2 linked regions of the Rattus norvegicus genome follow. The protein of the gene in region 2 interacts with the protein of the main gene of each other region in a biochemical or structural test. Links are inferred from orthologs where the notes say so. Each region holds a gene or a part of one and is shown on either strand. Other genes may lie near its edges.

The links.
Region 1: the proteins of Ppp2r1b (region 2) and Ppp2r2a form a complex in vitro, tested with the Homo sapiens proteins (2 studies listed by BioGRID). The link is inferred for Rattus norvegicus from reciprocal best matches to the Homo sapiens genes PPP2R1B and PPP2R2A.

What each region holds. Positions count from the first base shown.
Region 1 is NC_086033.1:45,388,034-45,396,039, forward strand, and holds part of Ppp2r2a (serine/threonine-protein phosphatase 2A 55 kDa regulatory subunit B alpha isoform), read right to left. Parts: intron 5,947-8,006; coding exon 5,781-5,946; intron 1,112-5,780; coding exon 999-1,111; intron 76-998; coding exon 1-75. UniProt on the Homo sapiens protein: Substrate-recognition subunit of protein phosphatase 2A (PP2A) that plays a key role in cell cycle by controlling mitosis entry and exit. Involved in chromosome clustering during late mitosis by mediating dephosphorylation of MKI67.
Region 2 is NC_086026.1:60,100,922-60,108,927, forward strand, and holds part of Ppp2r1b (serine/threonine-protein phosphatase 2A 65 kDa regulatory subunit A beta isoform), read left to right. Parts: coding exon 1-62; intron 63-454; coding exon 455-525; intron 526-788; coding exon 789-923; intron 924-3,021; coding exon 3,022-3,195; intron 3,196-5,017; exon of another isoform or gene 5,018-5,130; intron 5,131-5,449; coding exon 5,450-5,510; intron 5,511-8,006. UniProt on the Homo sapiens protein: The PR65 subunit of protein phosphatase 2A serves as a scaffolding molecule to coordinate the assembly of the catalytic subunit and a variable regulatory B subunit.

The DNA.
Region 1 (8,006 bases), on a different chromosome or scaffold from region 2:
GTAGGTATGGGCGTTGGCAAATATTCTCCGCGGACTGGCCTCCACCATTAGATCCATGGGCCTAAACACCGGCACCTGTCAACAAAATAAATCCTTTGAAATAGTATTCAAGATTCATAAGACCATTATTCCACTTTTGAGAAAACAAGTCATAGAAGAATATAGCTTGAGTTTGGGTTTTTTTTTTTTTTTTTTTGGTTTTTTTGTTTTGTTTTATTTTGTTTCTAAGTCACAGATGTTGGTTGGTAAGCAGTGAACTAGAAGAAAAATAAACAATCTGAACAACCTACCTTCTTTTCCAGGAAGAAACAGTACTAGTTTATAAATCGTAGCTCTCGTATAAACTAGCAAATGTTTCTGGTTTGAATTATGAAACTAAAATAGAAAGCCCAGTTTCTTTTTTCTTTTTTTAAAAAATATTTATTATATAAACATCAAACAGCTTTCAGTCTGCATGTGTGCCTGCAGGTCAGAAGAGGAAACCAGATACCGTTACAGATGGTTATGAGCCACCATGTGGTTGCTGGGAATTGAACTCATGATCTCTGGAAGAGCAGACATTGCTCTTACCCTCTGAGTCATTTCTCCAGCCCAAAAGCCCAGTTTCTTATTCTTAGCACCTTTAGCACAAACTGTAAGAGTCTGCCATTTCTACTTCCTCAGCTCCAAAGCTCTCTATGTAACAAAGAAGGTTCCAGCACTGAAAGCCCAAACCAGTGAATAGTATAGTATAAAACACAGGTTATGTGTGTCCAGCTCTGCCTCTGTTAGCAAGGAGACCACTACAGAGTATTTTCTGTTTCAATGGAGAGATACAATGTCTCATAAAGAAGTGTTCATTAGCTTGGAGCCAGAGTATACAAATATTGACAAAAAACCAATCAGAGGCTTTTCCCCCCTTTCTTTGAGGACGTGGTCTCCTTATATCTCAGGCTGGCCTCAAACACAGAGACCCACCGCTGCTCTGGGACTGGGAGTCGTTGTTATTAAGGACTTACTCGTAGTGTAGTGACTGTAGTAGGGTCTCTATACCTTCCATCTTCCTCTTTCAAGTTATAGCCTTCTGGTCTTTTGTCTCTTTCACTGATTTTCCATAATTTTATTGTTTTATCTGGGGAAAGAATGAAGAAAGCCTTCAAAAACAGCAGGAAAAAAAATAATTCTGATAGGCCATTTTAAATATGCCATCAAATACTTCACCTAAAGGAATTTTTACTTCACCCCACCCCCTTTGAGACAAGGTTTCAGTGAACAGCCTTGGCCTAAACTTCCTACATAGACCACGGGCTTCAAACTCAAAGAGAGATCTCCCTAGCTCCGTCTCCCAAGGGCTGGGGAGGGTCCAGCCAACGAAACCTTTCTAGAATTCTTATATACCTCATTCAGGTGCTAGAATGAAAAGAGTGAGGCCCCACTTTCAGCACAAGCTACTCTTAACAACAATAACAAAAAGAAAAGCCATGTGCTTATTCATAAAGTCTAAATAAGGTCTCTAGTTCTCAGAAATACTTCGAACTGTTTCAGGGGTATAAACACGTATGTCTGTGCACAAACGTGCCCAGCAATCAATATTACGGTAGAAAATAAGCAGCACTGCCTATTACTGAGCTCAAGTGGCAAGGCCTAGCTCCTCAGATCCTATCCCAGTGTATCTAATGGGAGACCAGGCTCCTTGATAGCATGATTGTTTTGAATTTGTCTTTTCTCCTCTTGAATCAAGGATTCCCTAAATACAGAACAGGGGCCCGAAAACAGTGATTAAAAGCAAATCCTCAACTCCTTCAAGACAAAAACCCCTATAATTCAAGGATGCATACAATAACATACTATATGCACTTGTGCACACGCACACACAGACACTACCTTGGAATTGCATTTAGACTTATTAGTTCCAAATATAGATGTATTCTCACATATACTTTACCCGGTCTAATGTTAGCATCTTACGCAACAATGGCAAAGCTTGTGAAAACCATGTGTAACACTACGGAAACTAAGGTGTCCCTAAGATTTGAAGAAGTTTCCCATTAACCAACACCCATTTTCTGTCTCAGGGTCCAAACTCCACAACATTTTGCCATGAAGCCTCCTTAATCTTTAATCTGCCTCTCAAAGACTCGGATAATTTGTCTTTATCAGGGCAGCTGTGAATAGTAGGAGTGTGGCCCTTCAAAGAATGTCACTGGGTATTTAGAAGAACACAATGGAGAAGTGACTTCCAAGCTCATCATACAAGGATACAGACTAGGTCAGCATAATTGGTGGTTAGTAGTTGATATTGTCAGGCTTCGCCTCCGCACACTTTGCACACCTACTCACTTTATTCTTTGGAAATAAAAGTCTACCCATGTATTGTTTAAGACTATTTACTATGGACTCATGTATGATTTTATGTAGTTATAATTCTAAAATGGTATTTTTATACAAAAGCAAGACATTTTGAATGATCTTTTTTTTTTTTTGTTCTTTTTTTTCGGAGCTGGGGACCGAACCCAGGGCCTTGCGCTTCCTAGGTAAGCGCTCTACCACTGAGCTAAATCCCCAGCCCCTTGAATGATCTTATATAAGCAAAATTGAATATCATAGTTTTAAAATAGCCTGAAAGCCATTTTAAAAGTGATACAAGACAATCTACAGGGAGACACTAGAGCAGCCATTTCTACTGCCTGCTTGCAACACTTGATTCAAGTGTAAACTCCTGGCTTCAGCATCTTACAGTGTACCCCTAAGCTCTCATCTAGATCTTGTTTGTGATTCCTCTGCAGCTAGGCTCTGCTTCCAGTATACTACTAGGCTTACAGACAGATGGTTGAGTAATAGGTGCTCACATAAAAGCCATTTACACTCTCTTTCTTAACTTTGGAAGACATAAGCATTGCTTAGAAATCCCTTTCTGAAGATGAGAATGACAAATACCCCCCACCCCGAGCTCTATCTTCAGTCTATTGAAATTCATCAACCTTATAAACAGTCCAGATAGGACCGTAACATACCAAACTTTCAGATGGGATTAAATTAGTTCCTATTTTCTTAGAGAAAAACAAAACAGCGCATGTGTGCACACAGGCCCATGCCCCCCCCCCAACAAATAAAGCCCTCTAAAGCAAACAAACAACTCTGACAAAATCTGAAAGAATTTTTTTAAGGTACATTTTTTTTCAATCATAAAGCTTGTGACTTAGAATTTAAAAATGTTTTTGTTTCAGTCATGGAATACAGAACACTGAAATACTATAATAGTTACATGATCTCAGTGTAGTACACTGGGAAGCAGGAAGACAGGAAATAAAATTGCTACATGAAAATCCATTTAATTAATTATGACTTAAAAATATCTTGCCAAAAGCTCTGAGAACAACCTCTTTACTAGTGCTCATGCTCAATACGGTGAGCAGCAGGACTCAGGGAAAGGCAAACAACTTTTGTTTCTAACTCTGCATTTAATATATAAGGGCTTTGATGCTATGTCTCACAGTAAACATGGAGGCCACCCTATGAGTGCTGACATCTCCGAGATGCTTTATGTACATCAAAACCATTGGGCATGGCTCCAGTTTTACCCTTCCTCTACCTTCTCTAGCCCTTCACACTCAAACACAAGTCTGTAAAATGCTGACCTTTTAAATACTACCATATTGGGCCCTATTTTTAAACACATATCCCCCCAAGGTGTTACCAACGTCTTATTTAGATATCCCCCACCAATGTATGACTGTCTAATTTAGATTATCAGTAATAACAACGAAACACTGCAATCTGTTCTTTCAGGCTTGTAGTGGTTTGAATAATTATAGCCCCCATAGTCTCATGTATTTGAAAGCCTAGTCATCAGCGGTGGGCTTTGAGGTTTCCAAAGCCCATGCCAGATCCAGTCTGTCTGTCCCATTCCTTTCCATATCCCTTGCCCCTCCATGATGATAACGACTAAACCTCTAAAACTGTAAGCCAGTCCCAATTAAATGCTTTCTCTTATAAGAGTTGCCTTGGTCTTGGTGTTTCTTCACAGCAACAGAATAGTGACTAAGTCAAGGCCCTTAAATAATTTGTAGCATTATTCAGTATTTTCAAATGTAGGCACCTACTGTGCTTAGAGATACTGTCCACTGTCTATAGAACACACAGACTCCTAGGAAAGGAAGGTAAGGTAAGTATGTAACTGGGTATAATGTTGCCTTTAATCTCAATACTCAGGAAACAGAGGGAAGCAGAGTTTTGTAAGTTCCAGGTAGGCCTGGGCTACTGGTGAGTCCCTGTCTCAAAAAAAAAAAAAAAACAAAAAAAAAAACAAAAACAAAAACAAAACAAAACCAAAAATCAACTCTAGAGACAGAAATACCCTTGACCATAAAAACAAATATTTTCAAACCACAAACTACAATATACAACACACTTCCCAGGGATATTTGTTTCTAAAAGTAAAACAAAACAAATATATAAACACATAGTATAATCATATTACTTACTTGATGCAAAAAAAGTGTTGAAGAGCTATTTGATGTACCTCAGTTTACCACATAAATCAAAATGGAAGCAAGACTAGAAACTATCATCTGATTCTTCTATCAAGGATGCAATGTATTGCAGCCGTGTTATATCACTTTCTTTCAGGAAGAGGTGAGGTGGGATACAGTGGGCATACCCATGTTTGGGAGGCCAAAGTAGGATATCAACATTTCAAAGCTATCCTGGGCTATGATGCAAGACTGTCTCACTACCTCCCTTGCCTCGTAAACACGAAGAAATTGTCATTTATTTAGAAAGAGGAAGGCAGAGGGTAAAAAGGGTAAAAAAATTTAATTGAGAGAAAATGGGTCTCCAAGGAGGCATGGAATCAGGAGTAGAGCGATGTTTTATGCACTGCATCCCCATAAATTCAATACAATAAACCACAGGGTACAAGAGTGCACGAAGGGGCTCTAAATATCTCCCACTGTGTTACCCTAAGTAGTCATGAGTCTACACACTCTGCAAACAGAAAGATGTAAGTGCTAAGGTTTGCTTCTATTAATAGTTAGATGAGATAAATGTGAGATTTCTGCTAATGTGTGTCAGCCTAAAGTTTTAATAGACCATGACACCCAGATCTCAAAGTGTCACCCCCATCTCTTCAATCTCAAGGTCCTGATAAGTCAAAACTCACTCTCTCTCTCTCTCTCTCTCTCTCTCTCTCTCTCTCTCTCTGTCTATCTGTCTGTCTCTCTCTCTCTCACACACACACACACACACACACACAAATTTATACTACTCTTAATTTGTCATGCAAAACCTCAAACTCTGACCAACATTACACCCAGCTCTAACCCTTTCTCCCACCTTTCCTTACACAAATACAGCTAACATGAGAATCTTCTTCCACCCATGTGGCTTATAGAGAAGAAAGTGAAGAGCTAGTCAAAGTCAAGGAAGAAGCATACTCTCCTAGAAATCATCCTGGAGATAAATCATCTTCTGTAAAGTTTGGAAAGAAAATAAGCATTTTCTAAGCATTGGGTCTACCTGCCAAGTTACCATGTTAATATACATTCATAACAGTGCTGTAACAAAGACACTGCTACCTATGTCTTCTGGTAAGGAATATTCAACTCAGGATTTGGGATCAACCAAAGGAGGCAGAAATAAAATTGGCCTAAATAAAAAATTAGTACCCAGGAATCTGAATTTGCAAGTTAGCAATAAAAGAAGCAAAAGTAGTAAATTAACGTTCTGCACAAGGGAAGGGCCTGCATCCTCTGGAGAACCATATGCCCATGGATGCCTGAAAACAAAAGATGCACACTTACCATTGGTAGACAATAAAAACTGGGCAGCATTTTTCTGGGGTAACCACCTAATTTTGTTGATCTTCTCTTCTATTTCTAAGCTTTTCAAGTAGTCAAATTCTGGCTCATGGCTCTGGAAGGTGCTGTAAACATTGTATTCTCCTCTGCTATGAGACTGGATTTTGTTCTACAACAGAAAAAAAATATTTGGACTATGTTGAGAAATATATCAAACCATAATCAACTCCAACAGACTCTGAAAATTGTAGATACCCCAACCAGGCAGCTCTATCTTACACCCTATTGTACTGTTTTCTGTATTTAAAATTCTTCAAGGAGAAAGAAAGCTTTACGAAGAGCAAGAAGGAAACACTTAAGTAAGCTTCATTTAATAGGGAGATGGTACACCAAATACAGACTGATTTAATTAACTTGTATATTAAATAGCATAATCATACCGTTAAAGAAGAAAACTGAACACCCATAGTAATGGATACCATTTAAAATGTAAAATGAGAAAGCCACTGATCAGAAACAGCTAGCTGGAGCACATTTTGTCTGCTCTTTTATCTAATCTGATACTTGGTCTTTTTGCCGTTCCTTTCTATATTCCCTACTGAAAAGCTCTTTAAAAGGTGCTCTCATAAATCCAACAACCCATGTCACCCCTTTGGACAACTTTGCTGCCAATTAAGTATGCAACAGCACCCTGGCAACGCCTGCCTGAACCTCTGCTCCATGGCTTACTCTCCTGAGTTCTGATTACAGGAACCTCACACACCAATGCTTAGTTCACTTCGTGCCAGTCTGCTGGTATATATTTGTTCAATTAAAGGGATTCATATAAACATTACTTGTGACCTATCACACAATTAGAAACACTTTTGTAAGAATATTATTAAAAAAATTTACTAGAATCTTCAGAAAAATAAATGATATTACAACTGTATGGATAAGCAATCACTTTAATAAAAACCAAGTTATCAAGTGAAGTATTTATAGCTACCAAAATAGCCATCTTCCCATTCACATCAGAAGAAACCTGTTCAATTATCTCGGAAACACATACTTTGGTTTGTGTCTTCTAACAGTGTAGTCATAACTTTTCAATCACTTATTCTGGCACGTATCAATAATTAGTGAATGGGCTGGTCAAAACTGTGAAGTCTTCAGAATATACCAAGAACACATCCAACCTTGGGGTGTGTTGGTGTGCCACACTCATATACCAAATTCCATAACGTATTTGTTTTTTCATGTATACTAAAATACCACATGCTGTCAATCTTTCACCTAAACTTACCCAAACAGCCTTATATGAAATAAATAAAACTACAATTGAGTTATTATTGTGAATATTGTTTTAATTTTCTTTAAATATATTTAAACGATGGTATATAGTACCATGAATATCTAAGGCTTAAAGAGAACAGAACCTCATGTCAAAAGTATACACGGGTTGGGGATTTAGCTCAGTGGTAGAGCGCTTGCCTAGCAAGCGCAAGGCCCTGGGTTCAGTCCCCAGCTCCGGGGGAAAAAAAAAAAAAAAAAAACTTGAAAAAGTATACACTTCAAGTACCCAGTGTACAAAATAAGAAGCTACACATGGAATTATTTCATGAAAACCATAAACCCATGAAAACCATGAAAAAATTTTTCAGAAACAGAATCAGAACACCATCATAAAGATTCCTCAAGAACCTCACACAAGGTTCAGACTTGATCTATTTCAATCTATTACAAAAACCTAAAACAAGCAAACAAGCAACAACAACAAAAAGGAGTCCAGCAGCTATAGACTACATGAAACACCTTTTACCAAAGAAAATTTTATCTTAAGGGTAAAAGAAGCCACACCACCAAACTACAGAAGAGAAGTGAAGAAGAAACTCACCCCTAAGACAAAGTAATAGAACAGATGGCCTAGCACTTAAAACAAAAAACCTTCTGAGACTACAAAAGGGAGCTTGCAGCTGGCCTTTTCCTCCAACAGAAGAACCTGTGCTTAGGTTAAGCAATCATGGCAGTTCTGTACTCTAATGGACCCATGACAGTGAAAAGTGTGAAGAAAAAGATCATCTACTTGAACACACATCAACGTCAGAGGGTGGCTTTCTGGGTTTCACTTAAAACAAAAAACGAAAACAGCACTCCTACCTAACAGAGAATTATGACACATTCTAACATGTACCGTGCTCCAGTTTTTTGCATGGCGCTTTAACATCCCGATTTTCTTACTTTGTTTTT
Region 2 (8,006 bases):
CCAGAGCCTCCTCAGAGACTGCGAGGCCGAAGTCCGAGCAGCCGCTGCCCACAAAGTAAGAGGTGAGACTGGCTGTGGAGTCCTGTGACTTTGGCGTTGTCCACTCACTGTAGTTTGGATGGCGTTTTGCTAAAGTAGGACCCAAAATGTATAAACCAGAGAAAAATGAGTCTGTGCAGCAACATTTCCCACTCTGATGCAGTTGTCATGGTAGGAAGTCTGGCCTAGTTTTAATTCATAAGACGCTGCAGACAGATGATACCAGCATGCGGAATGTGGCACTGTCCTCGAGAGCTGAGGAAGGTCCCATAGTTGAGATCAGAGGACTTTCAGCTCTGCTGTGAGAAGTAGGCGTATTGCCCCACAGAGGTTGTTTGCTTGGACTTATGATTTAACTTGGAAGATGTGGTTAATTGTCCTTGGCTCCTTGACAGCACTGTGTTTCCTGTTTCAGAGCTTTGTGAGAACCTGCCCACTGAAGGCAGAGAGACCGTGATTATGAACCAAATCCTGCCCTATATAAAGGTGAATGTGACTTCATTTTATTTTGTTTACCCTACCTATGAAGCTCTTAGCATTTAAAGAAGAAAGAGGCATAAATGAATCAAATGCATAATGTGTGAAAATATTTATAGTTGATTTGTGCATGTTATACTTGTAAAGCTTGTGGACGCATAGTCTGTTACTCCAGACGGCTGGGTCGGCCGCTCTGCTGACCAGTGCTGCTGTGGACTGCTTGGGAGGTGGTGTGCAGGCTTTCGTTGTCTTTAATTTTTATTCTGTTTTAGGAATTAGTGTCTGATACCAACCAACATGTCAAGTCAGCCCTAGCTTCTGTAATTATGGGATTATCTACAGTTTTGGGCAAAGAGAATACCATTGAACATCTTCTGCCTCTATTTTTAGCTCAATTAAAGGATGAGGTGAGTCTGGCTATGAATCCCTTTGCTTTGGTGTAATTGATTTGATAGGATCTTGTTTCTTCTCCTTTTCTTTTTTTCTTTTGGGTTTTTTGAGACAGGGTTTCTTTGGGTAGCTCTGGCTGTCCTGGAACTCGCCACTCTGTAGACCAGGCTGGCCTTGAGCTTAGAGACCTGCCCGCCTCTCTGCCTCCCAAGTGCTGGGATTAAAGGGACTGGAAAGCTTTGGTTTGGTGATTTTGCTAAGATAGGACCCAAAGTGTGAAGATGGGGCGGGGGAATCATAGTTTAGATGTTTGACAATCCTTCTCTTTGGGTATAGGGTTACAGGTTTCCCCAAAACTGGGCACAAGGAGTAATTAAAAACAAACCCAATTGTGTGTGGTGGAAAATGCCTTTAATCCCAGCACTCTGGAGACAGAGGCAGGTGGATCTCTTAAGTTCAAGGCCAGCCTGGTCATAGACCAAGTTCTAGGAGAGCCAGGGTTACTTAGAGAAATGCTGCCTCTAAAACCAAACCAACCAAGCAACCAACCAAGAGCGGCTGGAGAGGGAGCTGCATGGTGAGCTGCATGAGCTCTTCCAGAGGACGTTGGTTTGCTTCCCAGCATGAGCTAACAACTGTCAGTGAATCTGGTTCCGTGGGGTCTGAGCCTCTTCTGGCCATTGCAGGTGCCAGGTCCACAGAGCATAAACATGTTCATGTAAGTCATGAAATACGTCAGTCTTAAACTAGCCTGAACTACCTGCTAAATGTTTTATGTTATATCACTGGTTCCTTATAGTTAAAGTTCATATATCTTTGCTTAAACAGTATCTTTTTACTTATGTTTAAAATGTAGCTTCAGATATTAACATTTAGTGGCCTGAGGTGTGGCTCAGCAGTTAAGAGGCCTGCTACTTGTAGAGGACCAGAGCTCCAATTCTGGTGTCCATATTGAATGGCCCATAAGTGCAACTCCAGTTCCAGAGGATCCAACTCCCTCGCTGGCCTTCATGGGCACCCACACATTTGGGCACACATGTACACTTTACACAGACAGTACATACATACAGATGAACAAATGATGTGAAAGTTAGTGTCAGGCATGATCGGAGTGCTTTGGATATGCCATTCACACCCAGCGGGCTTGAGGCTGACTCCTCATGCAGAGGAAGTGAAGCACAGGGATAGACATCTGAGGTCTCCCCGCGCAGGGGCAGACCTAAGACTTGAGTACATAGAACTGAACTCCAGGGCCTGGGCTTTTTACCATCGCATAGACTTTATGCTTAATTATTAATTAAAAGTTTTTTTTTTCTATTCTTTTTTTGGAGCTGGGGACCGAACTTAGGGCCTTGTGCTTGCTAGCAAGCGCTCTACCACTGAGCCAAATCCCCAACCCCTAATTAAAAGTTTAAACTTTATTATTGTGTGAGTGAGTGTGCACTCGTGTATACATACAGAGCTCAGAGGCTATCTCTGTGGAGTCTGTTCTCTCAATCCTCCTTTATACGAGTTCTGGGGATTGAATCCAGATTGCCAGTTTGTGAGGCAAGCCCCTGTTCCTGCTGAGCCTTCTCACCTGCCAATTTGTTAATTGATTTTTAAATTACAAAATCATGACTTTTTACTGATACTGTGGTTACGATTAGTGACACTGTGTTTTGGATTACCTGTGTACTTAGCACTAAGGATTTCTCTCTGCCGGTATTCCTCTGGTCAGTTCTGGCCCTCAAGTCCATGGCTCTGTGCAGGCTGGACAAATGCCTTTCTCACAGCCTCACTGCAGCTTACCCCACCTTTTAAAACCTGAGCCGAGACTTAATTTCTGTTTTCTGTTTTGGTTTGTTTGTTTTTGTTTTTTTTTCAAGACAGGGTCTGTCTGTGCAGCCCTGGCTGTTCTGGAGCTCATTCTGTAGACCAGGGTGACCCCCACCTTAAGAGATCTGCCCTCCTGTGCCTCCCAAGTGCTGGGGTACAAGATGTGGGCCACCCCCCAGCTTAGTACTTTTCATTTGAAGTTCTGTTTAGCACTTTTTATTTTCTCATGCTAGGAGAGTACTGGGCAAAGCAGCTAATTTTCACATGGAGTCTCTGGGGCTTGTGTGTTTATTGTAGTGTCCAGAAGTTCGTTTAAATATCATCTCCAATTTGGATTGTGTGAATGAAGTGATTGGAATCCGTCAGCTCTCTCAGTCTCTCCTCCCTGCCATTGTGGAACTGGCTGAGGACGCCAAGTGGAGGGTCCGCTTGGCGATCATTGAGTACATGCCGCTGCTGGCTGGCCAGCTGGTGAGTACCGTGCCGGGGAGTCCAATTGTGGACTTACGGCGAGTGGGGGCTCAGGTAGTCAGGCTGCTGTGTCTCCATCAGATGCACTGGAGTAAATTCTTGTGGCCTGCAGGATGCTTTTGTGTTTGCTTGCTTTTTCAAGACAAGGTTTCTCTGTGTGGCTTGGTCATCCTGGCTCTCCCTGTAGACCAGGTCTGCCTACTCTGCCTGCTGGGATTAGAGGTGTGTGCCACCATCTCAGAGGATGGTTTTTATTTTCAGTGGTGCATTATGGCCTAACAGGAGGGTGGTCCAGAAACACATTCACCTTACTGCCTCCTCATGATAAAGGTGTAGAATATGTAATTTCTTTATTAGTTTTATTCTAATAGATGTGAGTAGTTAACATTTCAAAGCTGACTCTACTGCACACCTTTCCCTTTTTTCTCAGTAGGGGAAGACGAGGGCAAGCTTGTTAGCCTCACCCCTACCCATGGTAGCTCTTAGACAGTTAACTGTGGGGTGGTTTCTGTGGCTTCATGGTGCTAGTTATTAATTAGACACTTGGCATTTCCTACGAGTTGGATGAAGGGAGACCTGAGTAGTTTCAGAATGCTCATGGATCAGTTTACTGCTGACATTTCTGTACTTTGCCCCCCAACCCCAGTGCCCTGCCCTGCCCAAAGGTTCATTTCCACTCCTTTCGGATCACAGCACATGGGCGGGCTCGTATTTTCTTGACCACTGCACCATTACTGATTTGGGTGGTTTATGAGCATGCGTCTTGTAGATAGCCATGTTTTATCAAATCTGAAATTCTCTGTTCCTCAAAATGAAGGGCAAAGATCCTAACTTATCCATGTGTCAAGTGATGTCATCTTATCATGTTTCTTCACCATCCATTCCAAATGGGGGTCATTTTCTGTTCCTCTGTCATCTTCTGTGTCACTGTCTAGAGTGGAAAGCAGCAGTGGCTAATGATGGGCTTGCTAGGTGGAACGAAGCCCCTGTGTGGAAGGAGGTGGAGGAGGTGGATTGTGTTTACCATTTCTTTGAACCTTACCCCACCAGACCTGGAAAGTCTCCAGGGCTGCCAGCAGTATGCAGAAGAGTGTGGAAAGAAGACAGATGTCGTCTTGGCTGGTTAACACCTTCTGGCCGGGGCAACATCCCTCAGTCATGGACACTGGCTGGGGTGGCATCTGTCAGTCATGGTCACTGTGTCTTTCTCTCTAGAACTGGAGTTACAGTTGTGAACTGCCATGTAGGTGCTTGGAACCAAAACCAGGCTTTTTGTAAGAGCTCAAATGTTCTTAATGGCTGGGCCATCTCTTGCCTCCATATTAGTATTCTTAATTTTTCTTTTTGTGTAAACTTTTAGTCAATAACATTTTCTCATGACTCTCCAGCCCAGCTCATAGGCCTGATGAGTAAATACAGAGTTAAACCACAGACTGTCTAAAGGAGATCACAGGGAAATCCTCAATCTGGAATAAAAGTAGGAGTCTGAGAGCTGATGCTGTGGGCGAAGTGCCTGCCAGATTTGGTCATGGCCTGGTGAAGCCGTCCTGTGTAAACACAGAACCCTTGTTGTTGGTCTTTCTTTACATACATCGTCACTGGTCAGGAATGTCTCAGACGTGAACCAGAAAGGAAGGCACCAGTTAAGTGTGCATCCTGGGCTTACCTGTGTGGTGTGTATGTCCTATGGCAAGAGGTCTTCGTTTGTTCCCAGCCTGTGTGGGGACCACAGGCTGAGAGTCAGGCGCCAGCTATCACTTCTACCTTTGTCCTGCACACTGGTGCCTGTTTTTTCTCTCTACTGCCTTCTCTCATGCTCTAGAAACACTGTCTTCTGTTGGTGATCTCTTGGTGTCACTTGCTGCGTGCTCAAGGACTTGCTAACTAAAAAGGAGAGATGAGAATTACCAAGCCCCTCAGCAGCTATTTTTCTGGGTAATTCACTTTCCCATGGTGTCTAGATTTGCTCTGCAGACTTCTTCCTGTGCTGTGCCTGTTCTGCTCAGCCCTGTGCGTGTGCATGTGTAGTTCAGTTCTGCCTTCCATAAGCTTGGCTGGCATCACTCTCGCCTGGTTTTGCCTTCTCTGATAGTATCATAGTTTGTAATTCTATGCTACTGTTTTTATGGCTCTTTTGTGGTTCAGCTTATGTGCAAGTGTGCCCTTAGCTTTTAGGTCAATATTGTACAGTGTAAATAGAACATCTTGTCCTAACTCTGGAAATGTTTACTAATGGAATCTTCTATATCCATAGGGTGTGGAGTTTTTTGATGAAAAGCTGAATTCTTTGTGTATGGCCTGGCTTGTGGATCATGGTGAGTAGACAAGTTAAAAACAGATATTATGAAAAAAAACAAACAAACAGATATTATGGGAAGTCCAGGCTTCTGCATGTTTGTGATGTGCACACATGGCTGTTTGCAGAGGAATCCTGTGGGACACACACTTTGCCTTGACAATGTAATGCTGAAGAAAGGTTGGTGAAGTTCCACTGGCTTTCCCCGACTCCATAAACATTTACTTAATCTGGGACAGGGTCTCACTGTGCAGCTCTGGCTGGTCTTCTGCCTGTCTCCTGAGTGTTGGGAGTAAAGACAGGTTCAACCTGGCTACAGATCTGACATTTGTACTTCTGTTATTTTCTGTTTTCAATGTGTTTTCTGGGCTGAGTAGCCCTGCCCTCTCTACCTCTTGAGACGGACATTTCCTCCAGAGCCAGGGCTTGCAGCTGACCTGTTGCTGTCGGCGTCCTGGGTAACTGGAGACCAGGCTGACAGATTGGAAAGGCCTGGGTGGAAAGGGTTGGCTACTCCAGCTTTCTCAGATGAAGTACTCATGTGCAGTAGGAGTTGGGGACATGTGCGTACCCTGAGGCAGAGCCAGGGTTTCGGTGTTGTGAAAGGAAAGCTTATTGTCTCTTCTTTGCCAGCTGCTGCTGTGCGGAGAGTGTGAGCTCAGGACAGTTCCAATTGGTCAAGAATGCTGGTGATGCCTCAGGGCAGTGTGTGCATAGATCTCTGTCTCCCTGGTGGCTGAAGGCAGGTGGGGCCCTCTGCACCGGGTCCTAGCCTTAACCGCTTCAGTCCCAGGGAGTGCCTTCAGTTCCCATGTGATACGTCCCATGAGCTTTGGGTCCGTGTTTGGTGTGTGTCATAAGCATCCTGTTGTGGTCTCAGTGTGCTGCGTATGCTTTATGTACTGCTTGCTTATAGTTGGGTACTTGTGACTGGGTAGTTGGGAAAGAATAAGAATATCCTTCTGCTTACACTTGCAGGTGACTTTGTTAAAAGCACATTTGCATCATGTGTACGAGTGTAAAAGGAAGGTTGTGAAGCCATGTATGACAATGTGTTAGGGCGCATGTATGGATACATCTGTGCTTTTAAATGACAGTGTAAAGACCTCTTTATTCCTTGTTTTCTCAAAAGTTACATCTTTAGTGATCATTTATTAAAAAAAAAGAAAAAAAACAAACAAAAGAAACGTGGTAACAAATAGGAAAGCATCTTTAATTTTTCTATTTTAAATCATGTGTAAGAATGTGTGTCTGTATATGGGCTTGCACTTGTGCTTGAGGGGCCTCTCGGAGGCTGAAGAGGGCATCGGATCCTGGTCAGGAGCTGAAATTGTTGTGAGCCCTCTGGCTTAGGTACTGGGAACTGGAATCCAGTTTTCTATGAGAACAGTATATATTCTTTACCACGGAGGCATCTTCCAGTCCAAGGAATTTTGTTTTTATTTAAGAAAGTTTTCTTTGGGTACGTGTTCTTGTCAGTGGCATTCCCAGAGACCTTTCTATTATTATTACTTCCTTTGAATGCAGTTAAGGAATAGACGGGCCTTTTTGTCCCTCACATTTTGAAGGACCTTTAGGTTCCAGTATTTCACAAGTTGAGAAATGGCACCTGTTCTGTGTAGGTGATGGCTATAGGGGACCCAAGTGTCCTGCCTCCTTCGTTCCTTCCAACTTGGGAGTTAGTAGGGTGGAGTTTATGTAATACAGCAGCAACACACAAACTGGGGACTGCAGGGTTCCCTGATGCAGTGGGTGGGTGGCAGCTGGGAACATCCCCTTCACCTGGGCTTCCTGAAGCTTTTGCGATTTAGGTTAGATTTCTGTAATTGGAAGAAGAATGCTGTTTTTCATGTAAGTGGTGCACAGTGAGCAGTGAGCAGGTTTTTTGGGACACATCCCCCTCACCCCTCCCTGGCATGAAACTGCTGTAAGATCAGTGTGAACAGTCTGGAGAGGCTGAGGGGGTGGGCATGAAGGCTGTGTTTCTATCATTGGGCAGAGTGAGAAGGAGGCAGGGCTCAGTGAGGGAAATTTGAAGTTCCAGATTTGTTTTCTAAGTGGTGGGTATCTCACTTATTAATTTATCTTTTATAGGACAAAGATAAGTATTCAGTCAACGTTAGTGAGAATTGATAGATACGTAAAGAAACCTTTCAGATCAGCCTAACCTTAAAGGGAAAGACAGACACACAGACAAAACAAGGAGTAAAAACTTGGGAAAGGCTTGCATTCCTCTGAAAACAGAAGGGAGAGGTGCCAGGAACACAGTAGGCATCTGGCCAAGTAGAGTTCAGTGCAGTTGAGGTCTTGGTCAAGGCTCAGTCTGTGGTTACTTTGGCAGTGGAACCCTGCCACATGGCATTGTAGAAAGAATAATCATTAAAACCGGTAGCTTGGAGCAAAACACAGGTGCTGCCCATTAGTTCCCCTTTACTCTGTGTGTGTGTGTGTGTGTGTGTGTGTGTGTGTGTGTGTGTGTGTGTGTGTGTGTGTGTGTATGCATACATGCATGTGA